Linked DNA regions of Ovis aries. The protein of the gene in region 2 purifies or fractionates together with the protein of the main gene of each other region. This does not show direct contact. Links are inferred from orthologs where the notes say so. Each region holds a gene or a part of one and is shown on either strand. Other genes may lie near its edges.

Region 1 (3,656 bases), on a different chromosome or scaffold from region 2:
CAAGATAAAGCACATTTGCTCATAAATAATGAAGTCTTTTTCTCAGGTACCACAGAAGTATACAAAAGAATTTAGTTTGAACAGATCTCTTGGAATGTGTTTAACCTGGTATTTCAACAGACTTAAGATTTCCAGGGTTTCACAGGGGCCAGATTTTATCTGAATTACTCAGAAGAGAAAGAAACTGTCTTCTGAAAGAGGTGAACTCAATCATTACCAATAGAAAAAGTATCCACTGTATTCATCTCTTATAGAAACAGAAAAATATAACATTTCCCCCTTAGAATAATATATATATGTATATATGACTTAAAGTTCCATTGTACATAGTCAAACAATAAAATCTGGAAACCAGCATGAAACCCTATAGTTCACATGTTAAAATGCTGAAACTATGACCAAAATATGAAAACCACTAGAGCTGTCAGAAAGAGACAAGACAAAAGCTTCCTTGCATATGTAATAAACTAAATGTGATCATCTCCAAAAAAGTTTTCAAAATTATAATTATTTTCCAGTTTAAAATTTTTAACCCTAAAAAAAAAAAAAAATCTATACACAAACCACTGATTTGACCAGACCAAAAAAAAGTCAGCGGTAAGCAGGACCCAGAGGAGCTGATATTCACAGTTCTCACATGAATCTCTCTTTCAGGATTTATCCCATAAAGTATTTTATTTTACAACCTGCTTCTCTTGTAAAACTAAAGGTCCACTTTATTACATAAACGTTTTATACAGTGTAAAACCAGAACTGTATGTAAAATACTGCATCTAAGTATCTCTAAATAGTTAGTCTTGTTCCATTGGTTCATCTGTGACTTCCGTGGCTTCGTCATTTTCCATGGATGATTCTGAAAGAATCTCTCCAGTTTTACTGGAATTGGATCCTACTAATTCTTCTGTTTCATGGCAATCAGAACCACTACTTACAGGGCCTGTATTTTCACTACCTTCAGAATGTAAACCTCTCTCAACTTGAGTCAGATCAGATTCTTCCATTTGATTATTTTCCTCAGAAGTCTCTTCATTCACAGTTAAGGCATCATCAGATTCTTTCTCTTGATTTTTTCTTTCTGCGATCATTTCTCTTGATGTCATAAAAGACTCTAAAAATAAGCAAATGTTGTTGTAGTTAAATTTGATTTTCAAAATACCTCCACAGTTAAGTTTCATGAATTCTGATATTCTATAGTTCAAATCATATCCCCTGAAACTCAGCAGCAACTACATACAGGTGGGAGAAAAAACCCAACATCAGCATTATAAGGAGCTCCATTATGTTAAATTCTTTCACGCAAAAATGAAGTACAAGAATTTGAGGATCTCCTTACTCCACCCTTTTACAGATGGTCTCTAAATACCTTCTTCTTCCTCTTCATCCTCTTCCTCATCCTCTTCTGTACAGTGCTGCCTGGTACAACTACTTTCTTTGTCTTTATTCTGAGATGAAGATGGAGATTCTGTTTCTTCTACCATAACTGAAGAAATTTCACTGGAAGAGGTTTGACTGGCCATCTCTCTGACTTCACTTTCTTTGTCGAACCTGAGTCTTTTTACCTCATGCCCTTCTGCCTCCACAGTATCTTCATCTGGATGTTTATTTTTTATAGGGCTCACCGAGGAACCTTCTGATTCAGATGTTGAAGAGTCACTGTAAATATTTTTAAAAGTGTCATTAATAAAACTGTTTCTTCATCCTTTACATTCTATTTTTGAGATCTAATAATATGTAACTTTCACTGTGCAAGTTAAATTGTAACATCTCGGCAAACGAAAATAAGAGAATAATTCCAAGGACACCTCAACTGTTAAACATTTCCCACTAGGACTACTCAATAAATTACATGACCTTTGTGTTCAATTCTTCAGTGAGTTAAATGTCCTCTTACAATAAAACTACAAATTCCCCACTGAGACATACTCTTAATTCCTCTCAACTCACTTCTTTCCCTTAATGTGGTAAGAAATTCTGAGATGGGATATCAATAAAAGATTTCCTTTTATGATCTACGAAGAGAAATGATCCACAGAATTTGAACTCATTTACAAGTATCTTCTCCAAGTAATTTTCTAAAAGAAAAAAATGTATCATGATCATTTTCTTAACACCCTATTACAGAATCTTCCCAAACAAGCAAGTAAGTCTTTTCTCTGCCCATTGTCAGCAAATGCTAATGCCCTTTTTAAGTGCATTAAAATATTTTCTCCTCCTTAAAACAACAGTAAACTGTAAATAATAAATAAGGAGTGCTGAAAAACCATCCATAAATGCAACTTTTTCGGGAAAACATTTGTTTTCAAAAATAAATCACATACACACCTGTGATTTTTGTCCTCATTCTGCTTTGACTCTTTGCTGTCTGTGCTCTCAGGCAAGCCATTTGTTGTCATGGGAACTGACAAAGGAACTTTTGGTCGATTAAGCGGCCTGGGTGTCCCAGGCCCATTTATATTAGACCTATGGTAAGAGAAACGAACATCATTTTCCCATTTTTTGCAAAAAAAGTCATCCCTCTCAAGGTTTATATGCACACATCACAAAAATACTTTCAGAACCAAGAGTCATCAAATTAATTCTTTTTGGTATATCATCCTATACTTGCCATAAAATTCCCAATTTTTAAAAAGTACATTGAGTTTCCTATTCAAAATTTAGAAACTGCAGCTCTCTGAATAATAAAAAATTAATAATCTCACCTCTCAGTGTAACTTGGTGAATTTCCAGGAAACATAACACCATTCATTCGATTTAAACTATTGGAATTGTTCTTCCTATGAGAGGGAAAAAATTTTTTTATGGATAGTTCAGTTAACTTTGATAAGAGTCAAGAGTCTAAAAGATCTTTTGTAAGACTTCAATGTCACAAAATCAAACAAAAGACTTCTCAGAGAAATAACCATGAAATTATCCTAGTATCTATCTCATTTAACAATATACAAATATATTCTTCAAGAGTTCTGAAACAAATTCACCATAATCGTTCTATGAAATCAGGTATCTTAATCATTAATCCAATGCTTCTCAAGAGGGGGCAATATTTTCCTACAATCCCTCTTCCTTCACTCCATATCCTAGAGAACACATTCAGCAATGAATACATACATTTTTTGGTGGAAGTAGGGGGGACATTACTGACATTCAGTGGAAGCCATGGACACTGAGCTAAACCTTTTGTAATCCCAGGACATCCACTCCTAGTAAAATACCAGTGGTACCAAGGAATGTGCCCTACATGGCTACCTAAATTTACTATATAATTTACTATATAACTTGTTAATTCCAATCGGAATTAACAGTCCATCATGAAGAGCAATGTCATCAGGATGGTACATAAATCCAACAATGTTAAGACTGCAGTAAGTCATGACTCTAATACAAATCTTTTCACTGGAAAAATATATGCTGCTGCTGCTGCTGCTAAGTCGCTTCAGTCGTGTCCCACTCTGTGCGACCCCACAGGTAATGTTTACTGGTAATATTCTACTCTGGGAACTGGTTGGTAGTTTCCTAAGTATTTACAAATGTTACCATGCTTAATTATATATAAAATAATTGCAATGGACTTTTAAGACATATATTAAAAATGAAAAAATATAATATACTAGGGAAAAAGCAAAGTAGCTATACTTACTCTGAGGAAGGATAAACACAGC
Region 2 (3,656 bases):
TTTAATTTATACTTAATAAAGCCTGGAAGATAGAAATCACATAAATAACATCTACTGTAACAATACAATTTTGGCCACATGAATTTGGGTTCTGAAGGAAAAACAGAACTTTTACATCCAGATTCAAGCTGCTAAAGTAAGAAGGGACAAGGTATTTTTGGTGCCAAAAAAATACTTGAGAGAGCATGCATTAAAAACATGAGAGACCATGTATTAAAAGCAAGGTAGCTTTAAAAAGCCTGTTTACAAAATAGAACATTGTATGTGTATGTACTCAGTCATGTGCAACTCTTTGTGACCCCATGGACTGCAGCCCACCAGGCTCCTCTGTCCATAGAATGTTCCAGGCAAGAACACTGGAGAGGGTTGCCATTTCCTACTCTAGGGTAACTTTCCAACCCAGGGATCAAACTTGTGTTTCCTGCATCGGCAGGCAGATACTTTACTACTGAGCTACCAGGGAAGCCCATACAATACAGAATAGTGGTTCCCAAATACCAGTCATGGGACTGGCTGCATCAGATTCCTCTATAGAAATTTATCAAAATATAAATGCCCAAACCCACTGGTAGAAGCATGAATTCAAGAGCTGTGAGGCAGGGCTGAATGATCTGTACTTTAAATCATTTCTCAGATAATTCTGATGAATGGCCAGGTTTGAGAGCCACTGTAGGTGCTATACTCATCTTTTACTTTGCAGCCCAGGGTATAATCAGTTATTCTTTAATACCATGTTCCCATCTTACTATAAAGCTGGAAAAAGTATGTGGGCAGGATATCTTAAGAACACCTTAGAGGGCCTTTTGTAAACAACTATTTTTCAAGCTTGGGTCCCCAGTAGATATTCAGGTTCTATTCACCTCTGTGAACAGAAAGAAACTTTTCAAAAGCTAACAGAGACTAAACTGTTCCCTGAAAAATTTTCAGGGCACCATTTTAAATGATGACTATCATACTGAATATAACAAGAAACTGGGGGTTTCTTTCAATATTAAATAGTAAAGAAACACCAGATATAGAGGGGAAAAAAAGAAGTAAAATGTTCTTTGTTATTTATTGTTCAACAATCTCACCAGGACAGCCATAATGATATATTATTATTTATGGTAGTAATGTAAGCCAGGTGATTGTATAAACAGTATTACTTACTTTGCCATTGTTTCTGCAGACAGGTCTTCAGAATTCCTGACTTTTGTTTCGCCTAAAAAGAAAATATTTTAAAAATAAAATTCCCAAGGAGATAAATGATAAAATCAAGAGTACTGTCTTCCAAAAATCTCACTTAAGGATAATGAAATGGGGACTTTATAATTGTACATGATAGGCACAGCAAGGATTTTCTGTTACAGACATATCTTTATGAAGGATAATTAGAGTAGCAAAGAAGGAGGATAATTACAGTAGCAGATTTTTCCACATTCCTTATACACCACCAGCATTGGAATTTGGTTACATTAGCAGACATTTTCTCAACAAGATATACATGTGTGTGAATTTATAAAATATTTGTGAAAACTAAAAGCTAGGATTTTCCTCAAAATGCCCAAATGGAAATGACCAGACCCAGTGAACTTTTTTAATACTTTACACTATTCAAAAGGGTTGGCAAATGTGTCATTGAGTCAGTGAGTAATTAAGAACTTCACTCACCATGACCTCGAAGATCCAAAGCCACAATCCTACACTGAACTCTACTAATGATTGCTGCCTAGGAGGAAAAGGAAAAGTATTAAGATACATCAAGGTTAGCAAATCTTTCCCCATTACTAATGATAACTTTGTTGGGTGAACTGCTATCAGAAATAAACGATCCCAAGAGAATTAAAGGAATTCCCCTTTAAAGAAAAAATTTTAAACTAATGACTCTGTTTTTTTGATACACATTCTGGCTCTATCCCAACTTCAAAATATGAAATCCCTCTTTAAAATTTAACTCTTCCTAGCTTTCCATGAAACAGAATAAGCACCTCTAAGCTAAGCCCCTCTGAACTCTGCTATCACCTATGATTTTCATCCACACTCAGTGGTTATCTTTTCCCTATTCTAGAAGGGAAATTCTCTAGGTAAGAACCGTGAGTCAGTCTATATCTTGGTTCAGCATATCACACAAATATGACACTCAGATAATGAAATAACCTTGAAAGCAGCACAAGTTATAAAATCTACCAAAGATTCACTTAAGATAGAGCAGCAGTACACGTAAGTTTGTGCCAATTAAAAATATATTGAAAAAGAAATCATAATATCATGAGCCAGTACAATTTTATTGGTTTAAACAAAGCTGAAATTGAGGATCTTCTTCCTCAAATGAACTAGACTCTTTGAGAGTAATATATCACAATTAGTGTTAGTAAACATCATCAACGCTTTTTTAACTTTTAAAAAAAGACAGGACAACTATCTAGGCTAACTGCTACATTTCATGAACGAGGAAACGGAAGTCAAGAGAAAGGAAACTGTCTTCTCAGGACCACACAACTAGCAGTAAAAATGAGAACCAAGGTAAGCTACTAACATAACAGTCAATGTATAACATAAAACAAATCAAAGCTCTTAAATCACATTTTCTTATTTTATTTTTAATCAATGTTTTTCATACATTCACATTATAAAAATATGGAAAATTAGTAAGAAAGAGAGGAGAAAAAAGCTCATATGATTTGCCATCTAAATGTCATCTCTTTGGATGTTTCCTATGATCTTTTCTCCCAACTCTGCTGGAATATTATTGACATATAATATTAAGGCACCGGATGTGATCATTTGATACATGTGTATATGCAAAATGGTTATCACAATAACCTCCAACCTCTCACATAATCATCACCTGTGTGTGTGGATAACATTAAGATCTATTCTCTTAACAACTTTCAAGTGTGAATACCATAATTAATTACAGTCACCATGCTGTACATTTAACAGATTCCCAGAACTAATTCATCTTACAGCTGGGAGTTGGTACCCTTTGGCCAACATCTCCCCACTTCCCCCACCTCCTAGCTCTTGACAATCATCATTCTAATCTCTATTTCTATGAAGTCAGCTTTTTTAGATTCTACATATAGCTGAGAACATATATTATTTGTCTTTATCTGACTTATTTCATCTAACACAATGCGCTCAAAGTCCTCCATGTGGTTGCAAAAGGCAAGATTCCTTTCTTTTTCATGGCTGAATATTCCTGTGTGTGTGAAAAAGATACATTTTTTGCATGGAGCTATTCAGTTTCCCCAACATCATTTATTTTAGAGATTATCTTTTCCCCATGGAGCCTGCTTGGAGTCCTTGGAATTTTTGGTTTCAGTGAAGTTGAACTTATTAACCTTTTTTTTATGGCTTCCACTTCATGTGGCTGCACCACACCATATATTAATGTTCTTATCACCTTTTTAAATTCATTAGTTAATCCATTAGGATTTTTTTATATTAACATTTTTATACATGGCTTATTTCTGGATTCTTTCTGCCAATACCATACTACTGATAAGAGTTTTAGAATATGCTTTGGTTCATGTAGTGTTGAAGCCTTGCTTAGAGAATTTTGAGCATTACTTTACTAGCATGAGATGAGTGCAATTGTGTGGTAGTTTGAACATTCTTTGGCACTGGAATGAAAACTAAGATTTTCAGTCCGGTGGCCACTGCTGAGTTTTCCA

The links. The genes of interacting proteins can lie anywhere in the genome.
Region 1: the proteins of PPME1 (region 2) and PPP4R2 purify together in Homo sapiens (affinity purification with mass spectrometry; 3 studies listed by BioGRID and IntAct, counting the BioPlex papers as one, with this or other methods). This does not show direct contact. The link is inferred for Ovis aries from reciprocal best matches to the Homo sapiens genes PPME1 and PPP4R2.

The regions. Positions count from the first base shown.
Region 1 is NC_056072.1:28,761,811-28,765,466, forward strand, and holds part of PPP4R2 (serine/threonine-protein phosphatase 4 regulatory subunit 2), read right to left. Parts: coding exon 3,635-3,656; intron 2,775-3,634; coding exon 2,700-2,774; intron 2,461-2,699; coding exon 2,323-2,460; intron 1,654-2,322; coding exon 1,364-1,653; intron 1,109-1,363; coding exon 792-1,108; 3' UTR 1-791. UniProt on the Homo sapiens protein: Regulatory subunit of serine/threonine-protein phosphatase 4 (PP4). May regulate the activity of PPP4C at centrosomal microtubule organizing centers.
Region 2 is NC_056068.1:52,311,854-52,315,509, reverse strand, and holds part of PPME1 (protein phosphatase methylesterase 1), read right to left. Parts: intron 1,709-3,656; coding exon 1,651-1,708; intron 1,202-1,650; coding exon 1,150-1,201; intron 1-1,149. UniProt on the Homo sapiens protein: Demethylates proteins that have been reversibly carboxymethylated. Demethylates PPP2CB (in vitro) and PPP2CA. Binding to PPP2CA displaces the manganese ion and inactivates the enzyme.